Linked DNA regions of Kluyveromyces lactis. The protein of the gene in region 2 purifies or fractionates together with the protein of the main gene of each other region. This does not show direct contact. Links are inferred from orthologs where the notes say so. Each region holds a gene or a part of one and is shown on either strand. Other genes may lie near its edges.

Region 1 (6,544 bases), on a different chromosome or scaffold from region 2:
AGTGGGAGTAAACGTAACTATGATAAACCTTTACTTGTAATTACGAACGAAATACACTTGAATTCACGTTTGTTTTATAATAAAGCAACGAAGCGAATATATGCTAAAGTGAATTGTTGATTAGAAACCCTATAATTAAGGATATATAATTTCTTGATATTGCAAAGTAAATAAACTTAAAAGAAAAAAAAATTGGCTAGAGTGACTTTTTAGGGACTCCTGGCGAAAAAAAACTGGCCAGAATAATTGAGAATAAAAAAGGAAGGAACCAAGCTGAGGTACCGCAGAAACTTATACCCTCAGTGTAGTTGGAACCCTTGCTGTTGAGCTGGTGCCTTGGTTGTCATCTTTGTTTGCCGTTTTTAAGGGGACGATTGCTATTACGAATTGTATCATTGTATGTACTGTGTTGCAGAGAAATAGTCTCAATTTGGGAACAATGTCGTAATGAAAACAGGGGAAAACTCGGCTGGTTACCCTGATATACAGTTTGTACGTTGTTTTCTGTGAACCTTCTTTGATGGTTCTTAGCAGGAAGAAAATACTCACGACGTTTTTGCTAATTATTTCATTGCAATCCCGTGCGGAGCTAAAGCATATCACAAAGGAGACATAGAGAGTTTTGCGATGGGTTAATTCAGGAATTTAATTGGACTCTCAAGTCATTAGACGGTGCTGTCCATATACCAGGGTAATCGTCAGAGATTATGGGGATTTTAGGCTCTCCTATTTATCCTCGCTTTCTCTTTTCATGTTCTTGTACGGCCGGTACAGACAAAAATGATAGAGGTACAGAATTAAGCATAATTTCCCTTTTTGGTATTATTACTTGCTTTGCAATAAACAAACAAAAATATAAGTCACGTGATTGAACTTATTCCCCAATCAGGAATAATGTAAACATCATCGAACAGCACTATCACAGTGATTGTATTCAGTTGTAGAGATGGATGGTTCTGGCTCTCTCACCAAACTTTGTTCGGTGTATGTTAACAATTCACAAGGATTGAAGTTAGATGTACGGTATCTGTTTTGTCATTCAACAATCTACAATTGAAGGGAAGTTGAGGGCATAACAAAGAGTAGGTATTAGCAAGGAAAGCTATCGATTGAATGACTCAAATATACAACTATCAAGAAAGTTTCTGGGACGAAGACGATCAAGGTGTTACCGTTCTTCTTCAGCATGTTGGAAGAGGTATATGCACCTGTGAGTTATTGCTCGATTGTTTCACTAAGAGAAGTGAGTTGGAGATGGATTATGCAAGAAGATTAGGAGCACTCAGTGCAAGAATAATGAACAATCTCGAACGATATGCGGACTACAATAATATGTCTGAATCCTTAAAATATTTCCAATCCTCCCAGCAGACAATAGCCAATGGTCATTCTAAGGCATATGAGAGGCTCAACAGGGAAAATGTCGGTACGATGAGTGATTTCTTAAAGCAATATAGAGCCAGATGGTCAACGATAACGGGAAACGTGGAAAACTTAAGGAAGTTGAAAGATGAAAAGAAGAAAGCCTTGAAATCTATAGATCAAGAATTACTCAGTGCTGAGAATAAACTGAGAGAGTATCAGCTCAACAAAGAAACTGCCTTGGGCGAATACCAAAGGAAAGAAAATGCGAGAGAATTGGAAAAATGGTCTTCGATAGTGGAAGAATCACACCGTAGGAAAACCGTCTTACATCATGAATGTAAAGCTGCTAGAGCACATTGGTTTGAGGAATGGAGACATATTAGTGGAGAATTGCAAAGTTTAGAAACACAAAGAATCCAGGTCTCTAGGGAATTACTACAACAATACGCTGATTTTACAACCCAGCCTTCGGAACTGGAACTCTCTTTGATGGAACAATTAAAACAAAAACTTTCCAGCTTCACACCTGAACTTGAAATATCGCACTTTTCTTACCACCATGGTACTGGAAGAATCAAGTTGAAAAACTCTAACTCAGTTTCAACGCACAACTCAAGTGCTAACTCTAACCCATCTAATGTGATCCGTCCGAAGAGTTCTCACAAGGCGTTGGATTTAACAAAGAATGATAGGTATGTTCAAAATATAAAAAGACTATCAACCCAGCTGAAGAACACCAGGCTCAATTCAATAAATGCATTAAGTGTCGATAAAGGGTTGCCAACTCCAAAAACTGATGCTGCCCTTGTTAATTCCATAGAATCGAAGGTCCTAAATGATAACTCTGCTCCGCATTCCGTTGAAAACTATTTAGAAGTGGTTACAAAGCCAGGACATGGAGCAACATTATCAGAATCTTCAGAAGAGACTTCTTCAAATCCAACGGACTTTACTCATAGGAAAAATAAGGCAAGTTATGATTCCATGTCGACTTCTCTCTCATCCATGGCCTCAAGTGTCGATGACTCTCAAAGGTTTGCTAAATCTTGGAATTCACGCAATAGAAGAAAATCTAGACCTTCATCAATGTATTCGCCCACAATGGATACGGATACTTCTGACAACGACAATAACAACTCTCTGAAGCCACCAACTGCAAATCGTAGAAAATCCATCGCATCGGATGTCGAAACAGCATTAGAAATCTTGGAAATGAATGATCGTCCGATGACATCAAGAACGAGCTCTGGTGCTTCTAGCAACTTAACTGTGAGCAGAACAGTGTTGCCTTTCAGCAACTCTTTGAATATAATGCGTTGTAAACGTGTGACTATTGATGGTGAACAATTGAATCTACCCATCGTTGATTCCATGAAAAATCCAGTCGTAAAATATGTCAAAGCGATGTATTCGTACACTGAACCCAATGAAAATAACATACTACTTTTCAATTCTGGTGATATCCTGCTGTTAGTCGAATGCATAAATGATGACTGGTATGTGGGTGAGGTATATCAAGGTAACAAACAGCATGGTCTGGTACCAATGAATTACGTGAAAGTAATAAATTGATGTACATCACTTTCACCTTGGACGCTTTCCTTTCTGACCATTTTCACCCGTTAAATAATGAATTTGTAACCATATGTAACCAATATAAAGTTCTATACTTATATATAATTTCTGCTCTTCCAATAGACATCAAACTATTAGCAAATTGAAGCTGAGCAGATAAATCTGTACTTTAAATGATAGGAAGGATTGCTTCAAATAAATTGACCTCGTATCCTTCTAGCTAGTTGCATGTCCTTTCTCATAATTGTAATTCTTTTAGCATGAAGTGCCAATAGATTTGTATGCTCTAATAAACCGACTAAGTAGGCTTCACTTGCTTCTTGAAGAGCCATAATTGCCATGGATTGCCATCGAAGAGGTTCGCTCTCGGTAGTGAATTGATCTGTTACCTCTTTCACTAGCCTCGCAAAGGGCATTCTGGATATAAGCAAATCTGTGGATCTTTGATATTTCCTTATTTCTGCCAAAGCTAGGTCAGTAGGTTTATATCTAGTTCCCCGAGCCTTTGTTATTCTTTCATGTGCGCTGATATGATGCTCTGGAGGGTGAATCTGCTGGCTGCTAGCAGAACGCTCGGGCTGGATGTATCTTGCTTTGTCTTCACTTCTATTTAACAACAAACGTCTTCTTCTGTTTCTCTGTAATAATTGTAGTGCTCTCTGATTGATCGATTCACGATCTATAAGTGAAGCGCCAACATTGCTCAAAGATCTAGAACCGTCTATGCTCCTGATAGACTGTTCCATTATGTATCAATCTCTTTTCCGTATGGTCTTTTGCGTGTCATAGAACTAATTTCAATGTTTCGCGTGTCATATTCATCATTGAGTAGGCTAATGTTAGCTAGATAACTGTTTTCATTATTTGAAAAATTCAAAAAGTAATAGAAGATAAACAAGTTTATACTTTGAATTAGCTACTTGGATAGGAAAAGTCTCGTCATTGACCTAGCAACTGTAACTCGTATTGTTACGATAAATCGAGCACTTTGTTGTATTGTTAGAAACCATTTAGCAAAAATGGCACCATTAAGACAAGACAGTTACTTCGTATGTGCGGTATCCAGATTGTTCATTATTCCGAAAACATTAGTTATTTAAACTACTAAGATAACTTTACTAACCGATCCACTCACATTACTACATGTGGTACTTTTGTCCAGATAATATATCCAGGATCCAATAGGACTTTGGTTCAATTTGGTATTGGAGAAGATACTTTGCAGCCGCCTTCGATTTCTATTCCAACAAAAGTTTACAGAGATGCAAATGGTAACTTTACATCCTCTGTTACTGATGTTGTTATCTGTCCCATTGTGAAGGGAAGCATTGTCGATATTGATGCGTTCCAATATTTTCTAAAGTTGATCTATAAATCTGTGTTAAAACAGGAGAGTGACGATAGTCCAATCGCTTGGGATACAGCTCTTTCTAATATTCCATTTTTGTTAATTTCGCATTACTCTTGGACTCAATTCCAACAAGAACTACTTTGCAGAACAGCTTTTGAAGCAATGAAATTGAAGCATTTTGTTATATTACCTAGCTCGTTAGCTAATTCATTTGCCTATGGCTCTTTGCAAAATTGTTTGATCATCGATATTGGCAAGTTTCACACCGATGTTGTACCAATTATGGACTATACACCCTTAACCTGCTTCATAAGACAGATTACTTCCGGTGGAAACTCGATAAATAAGAATCTACAGAGAGCTTTACCAAATCTCACCGAGTCCCAAATTGAGGATTTAAAAAGGTCGGATATATACGAAATTTTGTCCCAAGATATCATGGATCAATACGCTATCGACAACGAAGATGACGAAGAAGGTACTTTAGATGTGGCTACAATTGTTACTAGTGGGCGTGATACTCGAGAAATTCTAGAAGAGCGCGAACGAAACAAAAACAAAGAAAAACTGGACAACAGCAAATTAGAGACAAATGACTTCTTTGATACTGATGGTAATCGTATTACTGTAAGCAGGCAGAGATTCACAGGCTATGAAGATCTGTTGAAGGATGTCTCGAAAGCTGTAGGACAAGCAATGAGCCAGATTGATGACATAACCAAGCTTAAAGCAATGTGGGAAAATGTCATTATTGTTGGAGGGACATCACATATAAAAGGGTTCAGGGAAGCTCTTCTATCACAGCTGCTAAAAGACCATATAGTTAGTGAACCAGAAGAGGAACTGTATAAAAGAGAGGTGGATGCTGCGGCTAAATTAGATTCTAAACAGAAGAAAATTGGGAAGGTTTCCACTGCTCCAATCTTAAATCAGATTGAATATGTGCAGCCACCAACTACCATCATGACACCAAAGTTCCCTGAATATTTCTCGGAATGGAAGAAGATTGGTTTCGCTGATATTACCTTCTTAGGCGCCCAGATCTTAACAAAGCAAGTGTTTGGGCATTCTAACAATTCATTCTATGTCACAAGGGAGAAGTATGACGAACTAGGCCCAGAGGCCATCTGGGAGGTTTCTTTCTAAATAATTCTAGTACTTTTTCAATATATAAACGTATACAGATATCCATTGTAATTTCAATCAGCAAATGCAGTTCAGAGTACCGTACATTTAGAAAGTGCCCATCAAACTTCTCTAGAGCATTGAGCTATGACTCTTACTAGAATTTTGATCATTTGTTTGTTCTAAAGATTTGCTCGCTCCGGGAAAGCATTCTAGATCCACTTGATATTGGTCTTGTACCCAGCTTCCCGTTATTGTTTTGTTTTTGTCTCTGTGAGGTAAAACTGGACCTTCTTTTAGTGAGGAAAGGAGTTTTTGTAGTTTTATACCCATTAAGTTGTGTTTCGGCTTCCTGCTCAGCTAGTAATGCCGCTTTGTTAGCAATGGGATTGATTGATGTTTCATTATTAGTGAATCTTTCATTTTTGCTTTTAATCGCTGAAGTTAGGGAATGCAACCATACCAGGGTATCTGATTCGTCCGTTTGAAATACAAATGTTTTGAATGGCGTCTGTACAACGAAGATATCTTTCGAACTTGTCTTCTTCTCTGGTACAACCTCCTTTATGCGAACACCTAACTGTGACAAATCTATCTCATATTCTAGATCATAGAAAAGGTTTGAATTTTGATTAATTTTGTTTTTTCTAGCAAATAAAAGGCACCTTCCGAATGTCGTTATTACACACATTCTTTTAATATATTCTGATTGTGCGATAAATTCTGCAGGTGCATCAGGTGCCTTTGAAAAGAAATGTTTCAATTTTGACATACCCTCATGCGAAGCCTCATCTGCGCCAGATTGCTTACGATAGCTCGCTTCAACATTTTCAGGATCAATCAGATACTCACTATAAAAGTCATGCTCAACCAAGTTTGAGTTCTCTTGACGAAAGCCAGTTACATTTCCGCCTCCTCTAACAACTTGAGTCAGTAGAGTATTTTTTTTCTGCACCCTTCCGTCTGCATCTAAGAGGGAGAGCTTTGACTTGCTAATCTTCGCTTCAAGACTTTGGTTTTTGAGCGTGGTAACATTGATCTCCCCCATCTTTATCACACGTTCTTGTATATTTTTTAAGTAGTACGACCACATTATATCTAATTTACTCATTGGAGATAAATCGGACG
Region 2 (7,631 bases):
AGCAGTCCACAAATTATAGCAAACCACATGACCATGTTAGCGAGCCTATCTCCTTTCCTGTTGGCCTGTTTCAACTGTCTGTTACCTTTTTCCATTTCCATCTCCACGTCAGTCTGATTATCGAGCAATGTATTAATATTTTGTGTTTGAACCTGCAAATGTGTAGCCAATTCACTCTGTAGCGATGCAATATCTACTGCGGTTCTCCGTAGTGCCTCTGCTTTTTGTAATTCTTCGTTCTTCAAATTAAGAAGTTCTTCATGCTCTGTGGCCAAGATTTGTAATTGTTCTGAAGAGAGTTTGGACATCGTTTCCTCGTACTGTTTGATTTCTTCAACAGTTGTCGTTATCATAGGAGACTGTGATACAGAAATTTCTTCAGGTAAGTGTAATTGAGCATTGAAATCAATGGCTTCGATATGTCTTTGTCTGGATAATCGTGTCTGCTGAATGGTTGACAACCTATCTGAAATCTTCATGAGCCACATATTCAATGACTGTAATATACCCATACGAAATTGATTATTCACCTTGTGGAAACTGGATACATCGTCAATTGATCTAGAGAAAAATGGTACGGTTGCGGACCATTTCTCTAACTTTTCTTTCATCATTTCTTGTCTCTGTCTTTCATACGATTCCAATTGCTTATATTTCTCGAAATATTGCTGTAATTGAAGTTTGCTCTCTGTATCAAAATCATCTTTCTCCTGATCAGTCATGTCAGTAGCACTTTCGTACCTGGGAGTCAATTGCCTTATCACTATCTGGAATTCCATAATATGTTTCATCAACTGCTTACTTTCTTTTACAAAAGTATCCTTTACACTAAACTTTTCCTTCACCTTTTCTCTATCCTCTCTCGCTTTCGTATTATTCAATTCGTTCCTAGCATCATCAATTCCCTGAGTCTCTGCAATCACTTGCATGTACTTTTTGAAGAGCTCAGTTCTATTACTCATATTAAGGTAGTCACTTTCTTTGTATATATTCTTTTTGACACTTACTCAACATAGAAAAGCTTGAACAAGGAACGCTTATAGTCCCAGATTAGATAGGGTAAACACACACGATAGTTGCCTCTAATTGGACAGTTAATAGACAGTATAATTACCAGTAGAACGGTACCTCCTTAACCAAAGTAACCTTTGGTTAAATTTGATTCGCATTCGTTTGCCAGACCAAAGCTTCATCGAGGATGGAATTAAGAATTTAGGTAGCACGTGACATTGTTTCACCATCATTACCCGGCCATTGAAAAATTCCCACAACACGAAAACGCGTTAAGAATCAGACTACGGCTTTTAAGAGTTAAAGGCCATCTCTAGTTTAAACTCTATCTTACTTCAACCATCCTTCGACTCCTTTGGCGTTTTATCGGATCATTAAACAACCAACATTTGTCAACCATGACGCTGAGCGATGAAAACGTGAAGAGAGTTAAGCTTGAGGCTGTTAACGCGGAAGAACAGCAGTATTTGGATTTATGTGAAAGGATTATCAATGAGGGAGAATTCAGACCAGATAGAACTGGTACAGGGACTTATTCCCTTTTTGCGCCTCCACAGTTACGGTTTAATTTGAGCAATGATACTTTCCCGCTTCTCACTACGAAGAGAGTGTTTACGAAAGGTATTATTTTGGAGCTCTTATGGTTTGTTGCTGGATGTACAGACGGGAAGAAATTATCAGAACAAGGCGTTAAGATATGGGAAGGTAACGGTTCTCGTGAGTACCTGGACTCACTTGGGTTGACTGACAGAAGAGAGGGGGATTTAGGACCAGTTTACGGGTTCCAATGGAGACATTTTGGGGCCGAATATAAGACATGTGATGATGATTATAGTGGTCAAGGTGTTGATCAGTTGAAGGAGATTATTCATAAGTTGAAGACAAATCCATACGACAGAAGAATAATTCTTTCTGCATGGAACCCTCCGGATTTCCCCAAGATGGCTTTACCGCCATGCCATGTTTTCTCGCAATTTTACGTCAGTTTCCCCAAGGGAGAAGGTGCCAAACCAAGATTGTCATGTGTACTTTATCAGAGATCATGTGATATGGGTCTAGGAGTACCCTTTAACATCGCGTCGTATGCGCTACTGACGAAGATGATTGCTATGGTCTGTGATATGGAACCTGGTGAATTTATTCACACTTTGGGTGATGCGCATGTTTATAAAGATCATGTTGATGCATTAAGGACACAAATTGCCAGAGAGCCAAGAGCTTTCCCAAAATTGAAGATAAAGAGAAATGTCAGTGATATCGACGATTTCAAATACGAAGACTTCGAAATAACTGACTATAACCCTCATGGGAAGATTCAAATGAAGATGAGCGTTTGAGGATCATGGATAATTGGTATCATTTGTCTATCTAATGTATGTACTTAATATTATCTATATCATGCTCAAATACCGGAAAAAAAAAAAGATTCATATGATATGTGCCATATGCTGGTATCGAATGTTGGTATGGGACGGGTTGAATGCTGAGGTAGTTCTATCATATGCTTATTTCGTCATTATGAATTCTTTTACGTTTTTTGTTCATGTCTTCTTTTGCTCTGACACGATGTGTCCTGGATACATGTTTCAGAGAAATTCCATCTATAATTTCAAATGCTGCTAGATCTGAAGTAGCCTGTTTAGTTCTTGTCGGTTTCACGTTGCTATTTTCATTTTCATCAGATACATTTGGATCGGACGAGTTGTTTTCAATAGCTTGTTGCTTTGTGGGCAATGTGTTGAACTTGACATCTTTAAGCACTCGCGATTTAGTGTGGCTTATTGCTTTTACGGCAGTAGATGTTTTAACTTTTCTGTTGATAGCGTTAGCTGATAATTCTTTCAGAGCGATTTTAGGTTTAACGTTTTGTGCAAGGTGAATCTCATGTAATGGTAAAGCCGGTGGTTCCTTTCTGTTCTCTTCTTCCACTGTTGCAATGACGACATTTGTGTCAGGTACGCCAGCAGGCACTAAGAGTTCTTCCTGATCATCGTCATCAGACGGTATTCCCTGTTGTTGGTTATTTCTACGTTTCACTTGTAAATCATGAATATCGGTGACAGTTGTGGCATCCACCAATTTTTCAGTGGGTCTACGCATCTTAGCACGTAGTGATGGGAGTTTATAGTTGACAGCTTTGCCTCTAGTCCTTCTTTCTCGTTTTTCATCATCTTTATCGTAATCTGTGTGGGGCATAATATCATCTTGGCCACCTTTCAGTTTCGTCCTAGGATGTTTCATGGAATGTTTAATTTTCGATTGTGATGGGATTGTGCACTGGACGATATTCATTGAGTCATCAGCCTCATTGTTGTTTGTCTCTTCTCTGTCGTTGTATACATCAATTTTCGATTTCGACGTTTCCAGTAGGATATGTGAATGCTCGTGAGTTGAAGTTTCCTCTGGAATGGAATATTCAATGACTGATGTAGTGAAATTGTAAGAATCATCTTCGGCAAGTGCAGTTTCCATTTCTGTAGTATTATTTTTATTGGTATTGCTACATTCAGTGCCTGTGTTAGTAACAGATGGAAGGACCGGTACCAAAGGTATCGTAGAGACATTCTCTTTTCCCTCGTCTTCACGCTCTTCTTTTGTATGCTTGTTCTCCTGAGACTCTTCCTCAGGTACTGAGGTGGCTGCAGTACTAGGCGGCGGTTCATCCTCAGTTATCGGCAGTTGATTCAGTTCTAGTTCCGGGTCCTCATCGTTAAACTCGAAATCTGCAGGAATGAACAACGACTCTCTCCGTGAACTCTTACGCCTCCTCTTTCTCAGAGGTCGTACCTCATCATCATTCAGCTCGAGACTATTCCCGCTATTTTCATGGTTATCTTCCGCAATTGGATCCTCAAACCCAACTGGTTTCGTTGTGGTATTTGCACCAGTAAACTCCACTTTCTTCGCAGATCTCGGGCTTATACCATTCGAGCCTCTCAAAATCGGTTTAAGAGGGTTATCATGAATACCTGATTCTAAACCCTGGCTCTCCCGTACTGTGGTCAACAATTGGTTCATTTGCAAGAATTTTTCTACAATTCCGTCCTCTAACGTCTGGAAAACAGTATTGAGCTTCTCACGATAGCGCAATTCACCCATAGAAAGCCGCGACCGTAAGGAAACATTCTCTTGCACCAATTCACTCACTTTAGTCTCCATATCAGTGATTTTCATCATAAGACTGGAATTATATTTCGCAAGCTGACTGTTCTGCTGTAAATAAATTCCCTTTTGTTGCTCAAGCATAGCTTGAAATTCATCGTACTGCGAAGAAGCGCTCATGTTGCACTCTCACAAAACTTAGTAACACTATCCGCCGTCAATTCGGGTCCCTATAGACTTAGGAATCGCTCTTCTTTCAGTCAATGAACAGGTTATTTAAACGCTGAATGAGATCTAAAGCTTTGAATGTTTTCATTGTTTACGTTTTGTTCTACGATGTAAACACAAAAAAACAAGATTACCCGGATCATATTTAGTACTACATTTAATTCAAATGAGGTAAGTTGGACATGTAATGGGCAATTTGATGTTATCCAACCCTTCGTTCATTCTAAATAGCGGTGTTAATGCTTAGCGTAGCTTGTATAGATCAATCTCCCCTGATACAAGTCGGTTTTCTCGAGTTTTCTTCCTTTATTTCAATATCGGAATAATATGAAATCACGACTTTGAACTAATCTCTACAATGTGAATTCTTTCAAAGACTAGAAGAACCAAGAATTATCAGCTAAGATAGACACTTCTCGGAGCGAGTTGGATGATATATTCTAGCTGAAGAGTAAGAGGTTTGGGTCACCTGAAAAAAAGTTGTCAGTATGGCATTTGAAACCGAGATCGAGACTAAGAGAAGAGAATTGAATTATTTGAAGCATGTTTCTGCATTGACACAGAAATTAAAGGCTCAATTGGACGAGCTGAGCGTTCAGGTAGCGCAGATGAATAGCAATGCTGTGACTGTTAAAGACGTAATGGCTAATTGGGACTCGGTTCTTCGGTCTATCTCTCAGGCTTCGATATCTTTACTTCAGTATACAGAAAACGACTATGAGACTGGGAAATGGGCCAGTAAAGAGGAACATAGAAACCAACAGGGCGCTGAAGATGAAAGTGCTGCGTCAGAAAGTTCAGAAGATAACCAGCAGCGGCAACAGGATCAATTACCTCCGCTTCCGGAAACTTTGGTACGGGTGAAAGTTGCAGATGACGTTGAATAACGTTTTTATTGAATATATACATATGGTGTATAAACAGGTTTTATACTATGTACAATTAATTGGTGTGGCACCTTCTTCTATTATTGAATTAGAAAGATGTGGGACTTGTCTCGATTGTGTTAGTTGCGTAATTGATGACACATTGGTTACCGGTTTCCTCGTTGATTTCTCCAATGATGGATTGTAACATCGTAACGTCCAAATTCGAATTAGCGAAAAGAGCAACCTCTCGTTTGACGTCGCTAGCTAATTTATTAAGATCGGTTAGTCCATGGTACATGCCATCCAGGTATGAGTCAGTGATCAATTTCTCATTGGCCAAGTTGTCGATGATTGGAAGTTCGATACTTTGATGGTAGAACTGCTGCTTGAAAAAGACCCTTAAAGTTTGTCTAACCGCATTTTCATCGGATAAGAGACACCTTCTCCAGATCTGGTACTCGCAGTACTTTTTTACTTCAGTGGGTAACGTGTGATCAATGGCAAGGATACTCAATGCAAATCCATAAGAAGTATCTTGATTTAATAGTGTGAATAATTCTATCATATGCGGCACTGAGAGAGATTCTCTCCTCTTCACAGCATCGCTCAAATATTTGAACAAAGTTCGATAGGTGGTAAAGTCTTTGAATAGTGGGTTGAGAGTTGATTCTTGTAGTTCTTGGGATAGAAGAATTTGCCCATCGATGAGATCTAATTCGGTTTGAATTTCGTTTAGCTTTTCAAGATCTTGAACTTCCGCGGCAAGAGCTGTTAATTTGGCAATACTCAATTGTGCCTGTCTTTGTTTCAAATCTTGACCCAGCGATTGAGTTCCAGTAGAAATACTCAACAAAGTTGTAGTTGCTTCGTCGTATTTATGGCAATATATGTTTCCAATCCATTTAACTTTGCCATACTCGGGACATTCTCCTAAGAACTGGTCCAAATATTCTGAATGGGTTTCACCAAACGATTCGTAAAGATCATCCCATAGCCCTTCCTTGATATAGTAGGAAAATAAGGATTTTGCAAAGTCGTATCCGTATTTCTGGAAGAATTCATCGTATAGAGAGAATGCGGTAATTTTTGGCAGAGATTGCAAAGTTTCAACTAAGCCTTCAAAGTCTTGGTAAAAATCTGTGATTAGAATTGAATCCTGAGACCTGTTAACATCCCTAAGGACCCTATTCCAAAGTAAATGATTTTCTTCGAAAAACTGTTTATAACTAGAATCAGTAATGGCATTTGCATCAATCCACATGGTTATTTGCCTGACCATATAAAATAGAGACTTAACCAATAGCAGTAATTCCTCTACAAATTCTGACACAACGGCAAGATCTTCAGAGGCATGCCTTAACAAGAAGAAGATGTCATTAAGATTTTCTATTATGCTATTTGTTGTGAACCAAGGGATATTTTTTGATACATCATCTGGGCTCATCTGGAAAAGTCCATACCTGTAGCTGTTTTCACATTCTTCTAATATGGAATGATAAACTAGTTGATTTATAAGCTTTGCGATCTGAGATTTTAACATAGTTTCATTTGTGGATTTCATTAGGTCTTTCAAATGCTTCAAAAAGGCGCCCAATAATTCTGGAATCTTAACAATGCCGTCTGAGATAAAATCAGAATCCGATTGATAGGAACTTTCTGATAGTACTGTCTTCCAAGCTTGTGAAATAGATGTTGGTTGTTGCGGTAGTAAAGAGTACAAGCTTTCCAAACATTTTATCATTTCAAAATCAGAAATCAAGTCCAGTTTGAATTGGGAAGATGTTTGATCCAAAAAATTATGAGCAACAAATGTGAGAAGTCTTTCAAAAAGTTCGCTTCTTATTTTTAAGTGTTTCATGGGGTTGTTAGCAACAGGCGGTATGTGGTTTGATAATGCATATTTAATCTCATCACTGGACATTTGAATATCTGTTTCAATTTCTTGTGGTTGTAGATCTAGATTGTCAGGTAAGTTGAAGTCTAGTAATGAATCCGTTGATTGTCCTCCAAAATAGACGTATTGATCCACATGAGACTTTATGAATCTAATTTCTTGGAAGTCAGAGTTTTCGTATTTTTCAAAAGTCTCCAACTTTAACGCACATGTTCTTCCATCAGTAATGTATAAGGAACTTGAATTACAATCGTACCCAAGAACTTTCATATCTTTGTTAAACCGTATAATGTCCTCCCATTTCCTTTTAAATGGATAATTAGAGTCCAATTTGGAACTTGTTTGAGTTAGGACAGCAGCATCAGAGAATAAAGTGTAAACAGACGTTATCGGTAAATGTTCCTTGGTGTATGCAGTTGGGACTATAAGTCTTGGGGCAAATTCATCTGATAATGGTCGCGTGTATGTGTTTAATCTGTAAGTAGAGAAGATAGCGAAACTGTTAGTATCTTCATCCACAATGATGG
Region 3 (8,227 bases), on a different chromosome or scaffold from region 2:
TAGGCTGACTCTATTCATTCAAGCAAAGGCAGTAGTATAGTCCGGCTCCTTTCATCTCTGGCTTTTGCTTGGATCGTCTCGCTACTGCAAGCAAATAGTGATTGAATTTTTTTTGATTCATTTTTGCGTTGGAGACTATTATTAGTCCCTGTTAGTAGCCGGTAGCGCTTAACACCACTGCAAAATGAAAACTGGATTACTTCCGTCAACGTTAGCTATGTTATTTACACGGCTTCACGGAGAACCTGAATTGAAAGACAGTATATATAAGTAGGCTCTGAAGTATATACTTTTCTCAAAGATCGTGTTGTCATGGCTGTTAATACTTTTACGTCAAATATTTTTCCATGATCTTCCTCCCATATAAAAAAGGTTCATAACAACCAAAAACCTATAATAGTTTTGAGAGGGTTTATCCTCATATAGTTTTTGCATTATAAAGTTGTTTTGTTTTTCCTGAATTTGTCTTAGAAAAACTTGTACAAAGGCCATTAACCGATTTACGTGAAGAGGTCTTGAAGCAGAATATTATTGAACAGATAGAGAAAGATTGTTAGTATCAAAATAGTCATGGATAATAAAGAGGTTAAGAGTAGTCCTTCAGTTGAGGATGTTAACTCATCTACCAAGAAGAGTGCTGATCTGTCGAATGCAGAAGTGACCAGCTTTCATGAGGCAAAGAGGAAATCTGCCGGTGGTGGTGTTTTCGTTGCGATGAACGATGACAGTTCCATTTCTAGTATTGGTGAAGATCCAGAAGGAAGGGATCCGAATAGTGTGCAAGAAGAAAATATATTGGCTGAATATTCAGAAGAGCAGGTTATGAACATGGGACGTGCTTTTGCTAAGAAGTACGAGTTGCCAAATGATGATGATATTTTCGCTCGTGGTGCTGCTTTGGCCAGAAAACCAAACGAATACGACAGGTTAAATGTTCTAAAGGAAGATGAACGTATTGCTTGTTACGATGAAATTCATCATCCTTGGAGAGTCCCTCCAAAGTTGATTGCTATTATCGCTGCCAGTGCAATGGGTGCTGCCGTGCAAGGTATGGATGAAACTGTTATCAATGGTGCTAACTTGTTCTACCCTAAAGAATTGGGTTTAGGGTCAGGATCCAAGAGGGACGATTGGTTGGAAGGTCTTGTTAACGGTGCACCTTATCTATGTTGTGCTGGTGTCTCGTGTTGGGCTACCGATTGGTTGAACAATATGTTTGGTCGTAAAAAGGTTATTTTCATCACTTGTGCTATCTCTGCTATCACCTGTTTCTTACAAGCTTTCGGTCCAGCTGGTACTCCAGGGTGGCACTATTTGTTTGCCATGAGATTTTTGTTGGGTTTTGGTATCGGTCCTAAGAGTGCTACGACTTCCGTTTACTTGGCTGAATGTTCTACCAAAAAGTTACGTGGTATCATCTGTATGAACTGGCAAACTTTCACTGCTTTCGGTATCATGTGGGGTTACGTTTTCTCTTTGATCTTTTACAGAGTTGGAAGAGCTGGTATTGCCGGTGGGTTGAATTGGAGATTAATGTTAGCCAGTGCTATGATTCCTGCTATTTTAGTTTTAGTGCAAATCCCATTCTGTCCTGAATCTCCCCGTTGGTTAATGGGTAAAGGTCGTTACAAGGAAGCTTATGAATCCACCCTCCAGATTAGAAATCACAAGATCCTAGCTTGTCGTGATCTTTTCTATCAACACGTTTTGTTGATGGAAGAAAACTCTTTGGAAATGTCTTACTGGACTAGATTAAGGGAAATCTTCACTGTTAGAAGAAACAGAAACGCCTTGATTTGTGCCTTCATTTGTGCCTTCATGCAGCAATTCTGTGCAATTAATGTTATTGCGTACTATTCCTCTGCCATTTTCTTGCAATCAGGTTTCACTGAAATTTCTTCATTGTGTGCTTCCCTAGGCTTCGGTTTAATTAACTTCTTCTTTGCTATTCCTGCCTTCTTCATGATCGACAGATTTGGAAGAAGATTCCTTCTATTAAACACGTTCCCATGGTTGGCAGTATTCCTTTTGATTACAGGGTTTTCTTTCTGGATCGATGATACAGAAAAAAGAATCGGTGTTGTTTCGATGGGTATTTACGTATTCTCTGCCATTTACTCTTTCGGTTGTGGTGTGGTTCCATTCGTTATCGCTGGTGAAGTTTTCCCCTTGTACGTCCGTGCCATTGGTGCATCTCTTTTCACCATTGTCTTGTGGGGTTTCAACTTCATTCTATCTTTAACTTGGCCAAGTATGCTACGTGCCTTCGAGCCTCAAGGTGCCTTCGGTTTCTATGCTGCTTGGAACGTCATCGGTTGGTTCTTAGTCTACTTCTTCATGCCTGAAACAAAGCAATTGACTTTGGAAGAATTGGATGAAGTGTTTGATGTACCATTAAGGGTTAGAGCCAAGTATCAACTATTGGAATTGTGGCCTAACATTCAAGAAAACCTCCTAAGAAGAAAGAATGTTAAGAGACAACCACCACTCGATAAACACCACAGAATGGCCATCAAGGCTGCCGAATGGAACGAAAAGGCTGAGGCTGAAGAATTGGAAGTTACCGAGATCTAAAATCAACTCAACACTTAATATTTTTATGTCAGTAGAAATATTTTTTGGTAGAAATTAACCTCCTTTGCATGATAAAGCTAGCTCAAACTATCATCATGTCATCGCTTTTCACACTAATTGATAACTTATCAAGTAATAATATTGCGAATTAAAGAGAATTTGAACAGAATGCCTGGTGTATTTAAATTCACTCTAATTCCCCTTTGTCTTCCTCTGTTTAATAGCTTAACTGTTGAACTTTCAATTAAGTAGATATTTATCTAGCTAGTTAGTAATGTTTTAATGTGATATTTTAAATGTAAGAAACAAATTTTAAAGTTCTAGCTAATATCTTGACATGTTGAAATAAAAGTGAAGAAGTCATGTAGACCAGGAAGTGATTGCAAACATTAATGACTATACTTACCAAAAATCGAATCAGATGCATTAGATGTGATCATGGGAAACGCTTGAGATGCTCCTAAAGTGTTCAAACCAAGGCTTTATGCAGCTGCTTCTCACGTGGAAACTTAGTCACTAATCACGATTTGATGTTTACGTTTATTTGATGTTTTGTAAACATTGAAGGATCGGGACGCAGTATTCAGATCCATTTAAAGCTGTTCAGGAAAACAGAGGCAAGTCAGGAAACGGGATAATTGTGAGCATTATTCAGCTGCTTTATCAAAGCTACCTTGGTTAGGTTTTCAGGAGTAGCAATGACTACCCAATTACCGTATGACGATGATGACAACGGTCTTTTCACGAATAAGTCCACTATGATGGCTAACTTTGAAGAATGGATCAAAATGGCCACGGACAACAAAATCAACTCAAGAAACAGTTGGAATTTCGCATTAATTGACTATTTTCATGACTTGAACGTGTTGAAAGATGAGGAGGATAATATTAATTTCCAGAAGGCTTCGGCGACGTTAGACGGTTGTGTGAAAATCTACTCTCATAGAGTCGATTCCGTCGCTACTGAAACAGGGAAGTTACTAAGTGGATTGGCAGAACGGAAAGGGAGGCAAATTAGATCCAATACAAACGGAGAGAACGATGATGGAGATGAGGAAGATGATGACAGTCTAGAGGTAGATCCTTTAACTGGTCTGCCGATTGCCCGTGATGACCCAGAGACTCTCGCGAAAAAAAAAAGGACGTACAATAGAGTGTTAGAAACGACGTTAGTTGATTTTGAAAGTATACGACTGAAAGATTTAGCACAAAACCTAAGTATAGATCCGTTGTTCAAGAAGGCACTCGCCGATTTTGATGAGGGTGGTGCGAAGAGCTTACTTATAAACACGTTACATGTTGATGAAAAACTCCGAGTTGTTTTTGACGCAACAACGACTGAACCTGAACAAGAACAACCGCAACCATTGGCCTCTACTGAAAGTCAAGTTCAGGAAGAAAATAATGAAGTCAGCGAATCAGCAAAAGAGACCTCGGAGGTATTTGGCTTGGATTCAGAAAAGGGTTCAGCAAATGAGGAAAATGTAGAATCAACCCCAGATACATCAGTCACATTGCTAGAGGATGATATATTAGATCTCGGTGTCAAATTCTTAGATTTTAATACTATTGAAACCTCAATATTGTGTCCATCGATGGATCAGCTCCAAAGTGCAGTAGCGGATATTGGAAAAGCAAAGTCATTTGTTGAAGGAGTGAATGGCCAATCTGATAAATTCTTGACAGAAAAAGATCTAGAGACCCTTCCTGAACTCGATGCGGAGGCAGAGTTCAACTACGAAATGCCACCAGAGGATGGTGAGGATGTTGCTGTTGATGCAGGTTCTATGGACTACGTTGAGCCAGCGGATAACATTCACGAACCAGAAGAACAGCTGGCCCTATCAAATCAACAGAATATGTCACAAATAGATGACAAATCGTATGGCGATGCGAGCGTACTCGATCAAGAGTTACTATCTTACTTTGACGCAGCGATAGGTCAGAATTGGAGGGGTAGAGAACACTGGAAGGTACGAAACATCAAGGATAAACTTAGCAAGGAGTCTGTGGCCAAACCACAGCAGCCAACTGAAGCCGATGGGAATCATGAACCAGCAGTTGAAAAGAAGGTACCCAAAAAACAGTTTGAGATTGATTTCTTGGATCTGAATGATAACATTGAAGAAGAAATATTTGCAAATAAAAAGGGGTTCATTGATCTATCAGTGAAACAAAGAACAAATGATTCACATTTCTTACTACCGGACGACTATAAATTCACAACGGATAAAATCACAAGGCTCTTCATTAAGCCCGAGCAGAAGATGAGTTTCTTTTCACACAGGAGGATCAGTAAAGCCAGGTTACCTGGGTCCCTGAAATTTGATGATACCGAAATCAAAGAAGTGAGTAATATTCCGGAGATTGCAGACGAACGCTTTTGGGCTGAAAACTATCAACTGCATGAAAGGGAAGAAGAGCACAAGCAAGATGACACACAGATAGAAAGATCAACCAATCCATCGTTTGAAGAGGATAACGGCATTGACTTCAACCAAGCCTTCGAAGATGAAGATTTGGATATGGATACAAAAGAAGATTTCGTAAACACGCAAGGATTAGTTGCAAATAATAAAATGACCTACTCCAGAACCTCCAAAAAGGTAGATGTGAGAAAATTGAAGAATAATGTGTGGAAGTCAATATGGCAACGTTTACATGTACTGAAGACAGACGAACAAAATGGGGAAACTACTCGGAATGAGGAAACTACTCAGAATGATATCGAATCAGAAGCACATCTGACCGAAGAGAAGCAGGGAAAGCAGGATATATCAGCAGAAATATCAACAAAAGCAGAGGGCTATGACTTGAAATTCACCGATATCGCTCACGATATCGTGAACATGTACACTTCAAGTGCCAAAAAGGATCTCTCAACCAGTTTCTGCTTTATCTGCCTTCTTCACCTCGCTAATGAGTATGGATTTACGATTAACGACACTACAAACTACCAAGACTTGGACATTCGGTTCCCTGAAAAGATTGCAGACGCAATTATTGGCAAGGAGTAGCCGAACTATAGCCGACGTAATTATTTTGTTTGTATATAGAAGAGTATTGATCACGTGATGTTCGTCTAAAAAGACCTCGTTCCTTTTTATTTTTCTGGCACTTTCGAATCGGATTTCAGCTGTTACGTAGAGTTTCTCCCTAATGAAATGCAACGCCACCCGGACGAGCGTTCATCAGCTTCCAAGAATTTGTTGATAATGTTGAAATTTGAGTAAATTGAGCATTTGTCAAATTTAAAGGTTTTTATTTTCTTTAGAATGAGGATATATATGGCTATGATTATTCGGGTCATTTAGAAGGCAACGAAAGAGGCAAAAGGCTTTTAAGAATAGTGAACAAAGGAAGCAACGAAAAAGTTGTATATACCAGCTCAGGTACTTTGAAAAAATCACTTTTACGGTGTACTTATTAAGTGTTAAAGGCTAGATGACGCTTCCGGTGTTGATTGGTGTTTCTGGTTTGTGCGCCAAGAACGCTTCTCGAGTGTTGATTCGTCAAGCCCCTGTCTTGACAGGGCCAATTTTAAGGACTTTGCATAGAAAGCATTTTCTTACAGGCAGCGTGCTACAAAACAGATTATATTCGGACAAGAACCAAACAGGCAAGGATCATAATGGTGTTACAGGTTCTCAGCATTCGGAGGACTCGAAGAACACTGTAAATGGGGCAACAAGTGGTGCAGAAAATGTTCAGCAGCCCAAGCAACTAAACGGGATTAATTCGAGTGATATTGATCCGGCAAATGGACCTGTATCACACGCTGTTTTGGCTACTAAGGAACAGCAAGCTAATAAAGATTTGTCTAACCCAAGTGCGCAAGCGGAGTTCTATAAACTTCTCTTGAAATCGAACTATCCGCAATACGTTGTTTCGAGATTTGAAACTCCTGGTATTACTTCATCGCCTGAATGTATGGCTTTGTATATGGAAGCTTTACAAAGGATCGGTAGGCACGCTGATGCTGAGTCTGTGAGGCAGACTTTGTTGACGACTGCTCCAGCTGGAAGTATTCCTCCTGCCGTGGCTTCATCTGGTGCTTCTTCCGCTGCATCGGCTAACGGTGCTGCTGCCCAAGTTACTGGAGGTGTTTCATCTGGTTATTCTGGCATCTATAATCCGTACATGGGATCCAAAAAGGAACCTCTACATGTTGTTGTCACTGAATCCACATTCTCTATTGTTTCCAGATGGTTAAAATGGTTGATCGTATTTGGTGCAGTTACATACGGTTTGACTGAAGGTTTCAAATACATTACAGAACATTCAACCCTCTTCAAGACAAATGAAGTCGCCGATAAATCTGTGGATGTTGCAAAGACTAATGTAAGATTTGATGACGTGCGGGGTTGTGACGAAGCTAGAGCTGAATTGGAGGAAATTGTCGATTTCTTAAAAGATCCTACCAAATACGAATCCTTGGGTGGTAAGTTACCTAAAGGTGTTCTATTGACCGGACCTCCAGGTACTGGTAAGACTTTATTGGCAAGAGCCACCGCCGGTGAAGCTGGTGTTGACTTTTTCTTCATGTCAGGGTCAGAGTTTGACGAAGTTTATGTAGGTGTTGGTGCCAAGCGTATCAGAGAGTTGTTTGCACAGGCCCGCGCTCGTGCCCCTGCTATTATCTTTATCGATGAATTGGATGCTATTGGAGGTAAGCGTAATCCCAAAGATCAAGCTTACGCAAAACAAACTTTGAATCAATTGTTGGTTGAATTGGATGGGTTTTCCCAAACAAGCGGTATAATTATCATCGGTGCCACTAACTTCCCAGAATCATTGGATAAGGCTTTGACAAGACCAGGTAGATTCGATAAGGTCGTCAATGTTGACTTACCTGATGTTCGCGGGCGTGCTGACATTTTGAGACATCATATGAAGAAGGTTACTGTTGCTCCTGATGTGGACCCAACTATCATTGCAAGAGGAACCCCAGGTCTTTCTGGTGCTGAGTTGATGAATTTAGTTAACCAAGCCGCCGTATACGCTTGTCAGAAAAATGCTATTGCTGTCGATATGCAGCACTTTGAATGGGCAAAGGATAAAATCTTGATGGGTGCTGAAAGGAAAACTATGGTTCTCACTGAAGCTACTAAAAGAGCCACCGCTTATCATGAAGCCGGGCATGCATTGATGGCACTGTACACTGCCGGGGCAACGCCATTATACAAAGCAACTATCTTGCCAAGAGGCAGGGCATTAGGTATCACTTTCCAACTTCCTGAAATGGATAAGGTGGACATCACTAAGAAAGAATGTCTAGCTAGGTTAGATGTGTGCATGGGTGGTAAGATTGCAGAAGAACTGATTTATGGTAAGGAAAATACTACCAGTGGTTGTGGTTCGGATTTACAAAATGCTACCAACACTGCTAGAGCAATGGTTACTCAGTACGGTATGAGTGAACAAGTCGGACCAGTAAATTTGGCTGATAAGTGGGACTCATGGTCTGGAAAAATTCGTGACGTTGCTGATAACGAAGTACTTGAACTTTTGAAAGCTTCAGAAGATAGGACGAGAGCCTTATTAGCAGAAAGGGAAAAGGAATTGCATAGATTAGCTCAAGGATTAATGGAATACGAAACATTAGATAGTACCGAAATTCAGAAGGTATGCAAAGGAGAACCTATCAATAAAA
Region 4 (8,273 bases), on a different chromosome or scaffold from region 2:
ATGCCGATATCTTCGAGTTATTCCCATCAGCCAGACCATCGGTTGAAGATCTTGTGAAAATAATTGCCCCATTGAAGAGAAGAGAATACTCTATCGCATCTTCTCAAAGAATCCACCCTAACGAAGTCCATTTATTGATTGTCGTTGTGGACTGGATTGATAATAAGGGAAGAAAGAGATATGGTCAAGCTTCAAAATTCATTTCTGATTTAGCTATCGGTTCTGAACTTGTTGTATCTGTGAAACCAAGTGTTATGAAGTTGCCACCATCTCCAAAGCAACCAGTTATTATGAGTGGTTTAGGTACTGGTTTAGCACCTTTCAAGGCTATCGTAGAAGAAAAATTGTGGCAAAGACAACAAGGTTATGAAATCGGTGAAGTCTATTTGTATTTGGGTTCTAGACACAAGAGAGAAGAATATTTATACGGTGAATTATGGGAAGCTTATAAGGATGCTGGAATTATCACTCACATCGGTGCCGCTTTCTCCAGAGATCAACCTGAAAAGATTTACATCCAAGATCGTATCAAAGAAAACTTGCCAGAGTTGAAGACTGCAATGATTGACAATGAAGGTTCCTTCTACTTATGTGGTCCAACGTGGCCTGTTCCTGATATCACTCAAGCTCTACAAGATATTATTGCTGCAGATGCGAAGGAGAAGGGCATCAACGTTGACTTGGATGCTGCCATTGAAGACTTAAAGGAAACTTCTAGATATATCCTAGAAGTTTACTGATTTTTTTATGTGTTTCGTTGAATACTGTTTATTATTTATCAATCTATTTATTTTGGTATATGAGAATCATTACATAACACTAACTACTGATGTACCATCTTGGAACCTAGTTCTAAACACCCGGTTAGCGTTAGTGAACATACCTTCTTTCAACGATACAACGATAAATTGGGAGCCTTTAAACCTGGTTTTAATAAGATGACCAATGTTCTGAGTATGACTTAAATCTAATGCGGCATCCACTTCATCCAATATATACATTGGTGCAGGTTTGAACTGCAACAATGCAAGGATCAATGATAACGCAATTAGGGAACGCTGTCCACCAGAGAGTTCTACCAGACTCTCTTTCCAAATTTTACCTAATTTAACTTTAACTTCTAATCCCTCGGTTACATCTTTACCTTCTGAAGGTTCCAATTTGGCGAATGAATTCGGGAGAAGATCGCCAAAAATATTTCCGAAATCTACACTGACTTTCTCCCATGTTTTTATTAAAGTTTCTCGTTTGTATTCGTTAAGCTTTTCGATAGTTTCCTGAATTTTCTGCTTATCTTTTTCAATGGTTTTAATCATTGTTTTCAATGCCGTTTCCTTTTTCTCTACACTCTCAATCATACTCATTACCTCTGGGTTCACCTTCCTTCTTAAGCTCTGAAAGCTTTCGGCTAAATCGGAACCACGTTTCTTGTACTGATCTAGATTAATGTTCTTATTCTGTGTCAAGATGCTATTGACCATGGAAGTATCTTCCAACCAATCATTTTCGTTGATTAAATTTTCAATGGCTTGATCGATGCCAAAAGTGTTATTCTTGTATTTATGCAAGTCGTTTGTAATCTTCTGTAAATCCACTTCCGAAGTTGAAAGTAGATGGTTCTTATTTTTAAGCAATAACTCTAGTTCTGATATCTCATCTTCCATTCCTGAAAGTCTGGACATTTCCTCTTGTAAAATACTGTGTACTTCGTGAAGTTCAGACTTTTTGGTCCTCACAACGCCCTCGTACTCATTACACGTTGTTTCCAGTTCTGCAAGCCTTTTCTCTGCAATTGATACTTCATTTTGGGCGTTAGAAATATCTGTGTGTAGCTGTTCTGTGTCAAAACTCAAGTTCTGATATTCATCAAACAGCTTAGCCGTATCAGTGTCTAATTTTTCCACTTCTGCAGAGACTTCAGAGAGATTAGCTTCTAACTGCCTGAGCTTTGAACCCTTGTCTTTATTGAATTCTTCCATATCTCTTTGAATGTTTATTATCTCAGTTTCGTATTCTTTGGTCAATGATGTCAACTGACATATGTGCATTTCACAGTTTTTCAATTGAGTTAGAATTTCTTCATTACGGTTAAATAGCTGCATTGCGTTGCTAGCATGTGCATTCTTCTCAGCTAACTTAAGCTTATGTGTGGCTAAATTCAATTCGGATAACACATTTTTTGAGTTTTCAGCTTTCATTTGCTGGTCTTTGATTTGTGAGCCGACTTCCTGCAAATCGTTCTCAACTTGTTTGAGCCTCGATGATGCATGATTATATTTCTGAATATCAAGTAGTAGTGAATTTGAAGAATTCCTACTTCCTCCTGAAAGTGTTCCTTCAGGATCATAGACATCACCTTGTAATGTTATGCTTCTAGATCTGATTCTTGGATTAAATGTAATTTGTTTGGCAGTCTCAGCGTCTCTGCAAATGAAACTTGTTCCAAAAATGAATTCCATGGCTCTCGTGACTTCTTCCTCAAATCCAATCAAGTTTATAGCTAATTCCACTTTTCCAGGAGCTAATTCTTTTGCTAAATGCAAGATGGACTCGTTGATTCTTCGTGACGAAATTTTGTTAAGAGGAATGATTGTTACACGTTTGCGTAACCTACCATGTTCCAAAAGTTGTGAAGCAGTTCTTTCGTTATCTACCACAACATTGAAAAGTCTTCCACCTGCACAAACCTGCAAAGCTGCAGAGCTATCAATGTTTGCTTCGTCAAGGGTAAACAATTGTCCGACAACTCCCTTAACAGACGAGACATCAAAATTCTTTGAAGGTGGAACATAGTTGAAGTCCAAGTTTGAGACCTTCCTATGCAAGGATTCTGTTTCCTGGCTCAATTGATAGTGTGTATGTTTTAAGGAACGCTCATTATCCTTTAGATTTTTCAATAGTATTGGATCATAACCATACTGTTCAAGTTGTTTTTCGAGATTATTACAATGATGTTGCATGTTTTGTATTTCTTTATCGTATTTTTCCTTTTCAGCCTTGGCAGCAGAAATTTTGGGAGTATTTGAATTGAGCTCTTCTTTAAGCATTTCCACTTCCATTTCCTTCTCCCTTATTTCAATTCTAGTGTTTTGTAACTTCTCTTTGATGGTGGATAGTTGAAAATTATATCCATTTGCAGTGGTACCGGTAGACGAGATACCAGTCGTTAGAGTTGAGAGTAGTTCTTGCTTTTCTTTATGAATGGCTTTCAGTTCCTCAAGTTTCTTGTTTTGAATATTGTACTCTTTATATTTCGAGTCATATAGAGTTTTCTTTTCCTGATGCTGTTGTTTCCACCTCTCAATATTTTTCTTCAAGTTACTGATCCTTACCTTTTCCTCGCCCGAATCTTCTAATGCGATATTCAAACTTGTTTGCACCCTTGAAAGCTCATTTGAAATTTCAGATTCTTTAGTTTCCAATTCCGACATTCTACCACCTAACTGAACCTCCTTATGCCGCTGTTCTTTTAGAGCGTCTAAATCACTTCCCAAGTTCTCGACTTCGTTCTTTAACCTAGAAATTGTATCCTCCAACTCTTCGAGTCTACTTTGACCAGAATGTAAACTTTCTTCTATATGTTTCTTTTTATTTGAGAGTTGACTGAATTCAAATGCATTTACCACTCTCATCACATTTTCTAAATCAGATTGAGTCTCTTGAAATTCTAAATACGTTCTCTTTTCATTCCTGAATCTCTCGAGTTTTGGTTCAATTTCTTCAGTCAAAAGAGTTCTAATTTCTTGTAATTTGGTCTCCTTCTTAGCCATAGTTCTTTCTGCCTTTTCCCGTCGATCTTCGAACATCCTTGTTCCAGCGGCTTCTTCTATTAACGAAAGAATCTCCTGCGGCTTCATGTTCAAAACCTTGGTAATTTTACCTTGCATGATCAAAAAGTTCGGGTTATTAATATTCAATTGCACCGATTGAAACAACTGAAGCACGGTTTGTTGCTGGGCCCTATGACCATTGATCAGATATTTACTGACTCCGCCGAGTATGATTTGTCTAGTGATTGAGATTTTCGCATGCGATTCAAATCCAATTGGTGAATTACTGGTATCGCTATTATTAAATACGATGGTAACACTGGCCTTCGTTACCCCAGCCTGACCTCTCTTGTAGATCAAATCCTGTAAATTTTGAGCACGAACGGTTGCCATTGATGAAATACCCAACACAAAACATATCGCATCTAAAATATTCGATTTACCTGACCCGTTTAAACCAGTGATGGCGTTGAATTGAGGATCCCAATCTGTAATGACAGTTCTTGTGGCGTATGACTTGAACCCATCGATGATAAGTTCTTCCACTTTCATTGTGATATCACCGGGTTATCTAAAGCAGCAGATATGTAACCTCACAGCAAGCGTTGACAGGGTTGGATTCACTTTTTTGACTCGCCTTTGTGTTTGTTTTGTTGATCTCATCAGGTCTTTTGTTTACATATTTCAAATCTTTATTTATGTTGAAATTCTCATAATCAAATCTGCATAAAATAATGAGGGAAGACAGACAAAGGCAAAACATACATTGCAGAGACGATGGGGATCTTAGTGCTCAAAAATAGCCTGTGATAATATGACGAAAGGATGAAATGATTAAAAAACGGTATGTAGAAGTAGTTTACTAATAATTATATTGAAATTTGAAGCTTTGTATACTATTGGAATCCACATCGTTCTTCAGACACAGATTTGAAATGACATTTAATAAAATTATTTTTATACAACAATAAACCTAAACATATGGAGATTGTTTAAATCTAATCTTGAGTCTTTTGAGAACCACGTAACAAACCAGTTCTTCTGGCAGCGATCAAACCAGCCTTTTGACCAGAAACAGCACCTCTGGAGATGGTAGAAGCCTTACCAATATGTTGATGGTTACCACCACCGTGAGGGTGATCAACAGGGTTCATGGCAACACCACGAGTCTTTGGCCAAGAGTTTCTCTTGACTCTGTACTTGTGGAAAGCACGACCAGCCTTCAACAATGGCTTGTCGATTCTACCACCACCGGCAACAACACCAATGACACCTCTGGCATCAGAAGAAATGATCTTCTTAGCACCAGATGGTAATCTAACTCTGGTCTTGTTGTCTTCTGGGTTGTGACCAATAACGATAACGTAGTTACCGGAAGCTCTGGCCAAAGCACCTCTGTCACCTGGTCTTTCTTCGACGTTAGAGATGATAGTACCTTCTGGGACGGAACCCAATGGCAAAACGTTACCAACGTTCAAAGAAGCCTTCTTACCAGCGTAAATGAATTGACCGGTGTGGAGACCTTCGTTGGCAATGAAGGTTTCTTCACGCAACTTGTACTTGTATGGGTCACGGAAGACAACCTTAGCCAAAGGAGCACCTCTACCAGCATCGTGGACGATTTGCTTAACAACACCACGAATGTAACCGTGACGTTCAGCGTAATCCAAGTTTCTCAACTTGGCAGCACCTTGTCTCAATCTGGTGTGAGAGGTGAAGATAGAACCAGCACCCTTTCTTTGGTTTCTAATAACTCTACCTGTTTTGAAACTGACAATCGACAATGGATATGCAAAATGCTCATGCCATTGTTGAAAGATAATTCTTGTTAGTATAACTGAAAAATTCTTATTATAATTGTTGAAAAAACATCTGAACCACATCTGAATCGACACTCATTATAATTCCAGATCTATCATTGATCCCATGCCAGCTATTGTCGTTTCTTCCTCTGCTCTCTGTATCGTTTAAATCTCTTTTTCCCAATGATATTGACGTAATAATTCCCAATCATCTTCTTTGGTAGATTTAACACATATATTGCATATCGCTAACAGTAATTCAATCATCAACTCTCAAAACATATCATATTCGCTCTTTGCATTGTTTAATTATGGCCGGTGTGTGCCTGGTTAACATTATTCTATATTTCATTATTCGTTCTTAAAATGATGGCCATTTCTTTAATTCAGTGCTTTCAAATCCTCATAACTCTATGTCACCGTAATAGACATACCCATTGTTTACTTCGGTTTGGTTGGACAGTATCAGTGCAATAAGAATAAAGTGTAACACAAAATACTATTGCAAAGCAGTATTACCATATAGTTTCAATGAATGATCTTTAATTCTTTCTTCAATAACTATACCTACAATATTGAAAATTCACCATTTGCCAGAATTGGTCCATGTACTGGAACCGAAGGGGCTGGGCAGAAACTCTGGTCCCAGCCTAGGCATTGGTTCTGTGAATCTGAATTCCAGCCTGGAGGGAGAGTTTCCTGGGCAGGACTAGGAAAGCCGGACAGAGAGACTCTGTGTCTCAGCTCCCCCTGGCAGAACGGCTCAGTCTTAGAGGAAAGGAATATCGGCAGGGGGACGTCTGCCCAGGACACCCAGCCTTACCACAATTGGACTGCCTTGTGTAAGTTTTTCTGAAAAAGTTTATGTGTATTACCTTAAACAGTAATAATGTATAACCAAATTCCAAAAATATATAAAATACATTGAGGTACGGATGTAAGGTGGAACAGTCACATAATCTGTTATTGTGTACTTGCTGATGTTGAATGTGTCACTAATGAATTTATTGACTGATTGACTGATCGCCCGATGACTGTTTTGTTGCATTTTACGTAGAAAAGCATGTTGTTTATGAAACCATAGTTATATAATTGATAGAAGTAGTAATGCTAGTAGTATGTGTATTAGGCTGCGACCTGTTCTACAGGTTGTTGAGATTCTAATTGAGACTCTGCATTTGAATTAAGTAATGGATTGTCCTGCGATGCTGTCACACCATCTTCCTGGTCGATAAGCGGTTCGGCATTGGCCTCGGGCTCCACCACAGCACCGTCATTACCGTCAGCTTGTGGTTGAGGATTTCCCTCGATAGGAATTGCCGCAACAGCATTAGCTGTATCAGGTTCATCTCCTGTTACCCCAGCATCTGCTGGGATTTCGTTGTTGCCTTCCGCGGACTCTCCATTAGTGTTAGCACCCGCCTTCTTCTCTAAAGCCCTTTGCACTTCTTCAATCTTTTCTATAAATGCGTTCTTCACGTTTATCTGTTTGCCCCTAAATTTCTCTTGTGTTGCAAACTGTTTCGCATCGTTTAGCCTGAAGGCATCGGGGAACGTTACCAAGGCTGCTGTGAAATGGCGATGGAAAGTGAACCCACGTCTATAAGTTCTATTTTTAAATACAACAATTTCTTGTGGATCAAATCCTTTGAAATATTCACGTAGCTGATTATCAGTCGTATTACGAGGAATGAATCCAATGAATGCAATGGTCTCGGAAACAGGTTTTTCTGTTATCACAGTGGTAACGTTCCCAACGTCAGAACTTTCAGAATTAACTGGATCAACCGTCACTATCGGATTGGCATCGGCATTGGCACCGGCATTGGCATCAGCCGCACCAGCAACAGCTTCTGAAACTTCCGTCTCATTGTTACCAGTTTCTTGAACATTTTCAGTAGAAGCTTCAGGAATATCTGCTTCAACAGCTGGCTCCTCTCTCTTTTTTCTTCTAAATGGAGTCAACCTGTGCTTCCTAGATTTCAATTGTTTAACAAGAGGTTGTTGTTCCAGCGCGGATGCCACTTCTGGTGCTTCCGCAGGAGTATCTGAGGAGGCGGATGGATCAGCACCTGCAGTAGAGGAAGCAACCACAGCCACTGATGATTTTCTAACGATTTGAACCTTATTAGAATCAATTGGAATATGCATTCTTAAATTCAAATGCCTTTCCATGAACAATTTCCCATTCAATTCTTGAATAACCTTATTTGCATCTTCTTCATTGGAAAATTCAGCATATGCAATCCCAAATGGACGCACTGCTTTATTCTTCAAGCCTCTCACAGTTTGACTTGGGATCAATACAGAAATGACATTGTAGTCTTGCAAATATTCATATAATTGATTCTCACTTGCTTCGAAACTCAAGTTCGAAATGTATACCCTTGCGTGCGACGACATTGATGTGATGTTAATTTTTTACAACTTCGCTTGGCTGTTTCCTGTTGAAACTCTTCCAAATCTTCTATATGATGTGAACTTAAGCTCCACAAGTACGCCCTTTCGACTGTTGCCTATACTATCAAGCGATGTATTGGGAATTCAAGAAGGCCTTTGACTTTGTGTTCATATATATAATGTTTCGAGGAAGATTTCTGTATAGAAGTTGTGTCACAAAATCAGGGGCTACCTGACGTTTATCTATATATAATAAAGGAATAAGGCGAGTGGCGTCAATTAGATGACTTTTGACACGAAA

What was found.
Region 1: the proteins of SGO1 (region 2) and CSE4 purify together in Saccharomyces cerevisiae (affinity purification with western blotting; 3 studies listed by BioGRID, with this or other methods). This does not show direct contact. The link is inferred for Kluyveromyces lactis from reciprocal best matches to the Saccharomyces cerevisiae genes SGO1 and CSE4.
Region 3: the proteins of SGO1 (region 2) and BRN1 purify together in Saccharomyces cerevisiae (affinity purification with western blotting; 3 studies listed by BioGRID, with this or other methods). This does not show direct contact. The link is inferred for Kluyveromyces lactis from reciprocal best matches to the Saccharomyces cerevisiae genes SGO1 and BRN1.
Region 4: the proteins of SGO1 (region 2) and SMC2 purify together in Saccharomyces cerevisiae (affinity purification with western blotting; 4 studies listed by BioGRID, with this or other methods). This does not show direct contact. The link is inferred for Kluyveromyces lactis from reciprocal best matches to the Saccharomyces cerevisiae genes SGO1 and SMC2.

What each region holds. Positions count from the first base shown.
Region 1 is NC_006039.1:1,061,986-1,068,529, reverse strand, and holds CSE4 (centromeric DNA-binding histone H3-like protein CSE4), read right to left. Parts: upstream 3,687-6,544; coding exon 3,132-3,686; downstream 1-3,131. Other genes in the region: formin-binding protein HOF1, read left to right, coding at 1,114-2,937; ARP9 (Arp9p), read left to right, coding at 3,960-3,989, 4,103-5,437; serine/threonine protein kinase PKH1, read right to left, coding at 5,586-6,544. UniProt on the Saccharomyces cerevisiae protein: Histone H3-like nucleosomal protein that is specifically found in centromeric nucleosomes. Replaces conventional H3 in the nucleosome core of centromeric chromatin that serves as an assembly site for the inner kinetochore.
Region 2 is NC_006037.1:697,217-704,847, forward strand, and holds SGO1 (Sgo1p), read right to left. Parts: upstream 4,294-7,631; coding exon 2,509-4,293; downstream 1-2,508. Other genes in the region: UFE1 (Ufe1p), read right to left, coding at 1-962; CDC21 (thymidylate synthase), read left to right, coding at 1,410-2,348; DAD2 (Dad2p), read left to right, coding at 4,830-5,228; NUP133 (Nup133p), read right to left, coding at 5,317-7,631. UniProt on the Saccharomyces cerevisiae protein: Plays a central role in chromosome cohesion during mitosis and meiosis divisions by preventing premature dissociation of cohesin complex from centromeres after prophase, when most of cohesin complex dissociates from chromosomes arms.
Region 3 is NC_006041.1:607,288-615,514, reverse strand, and holds BRN1 (condensin subunit BRN1), read left to right. Parts: upstream 1-3,272; coding exon 3,273-5,591; downstream 5,592-8,227. Other genes in the region: KLLA0_E06755g (sugar porter family MFS transporter), read left to right, coding at 571-2,574; i-AAA protease YME1, read left to right, coding at 6,019-8,227. UniProt on the Saccharomyces cerevisiae protein: Regulatory subunit of the condensin complex, a complex required for conversion of interphase chromatin into mitotic-like condense chromosomes.
Region 4 is NC_006040.1:1,345,683-1,353,955, forward strand, and holds SMC2 (condensin subunit SMC2), read right to left. Parts: upstream 4,323-8,273; coding exon 810-4,322; downstream 1-809. Other genes in the region: MET10 (sulfite reductase subunit alpha), read left to right, coding at 1-740; KLLA0_D16027g (60S ribosomal protein uL2), read right to left, coding at 4,769-5,529, 6,007-6,010; RRT5 (Rrt5p), read right to left, coding at 6,698-7,975. UniProt on the Saccharomyces cerevisiae protein: Central component of the condensin complex, a complex required for conversion of interphase chromatin into mitotic-like condense chromosomes.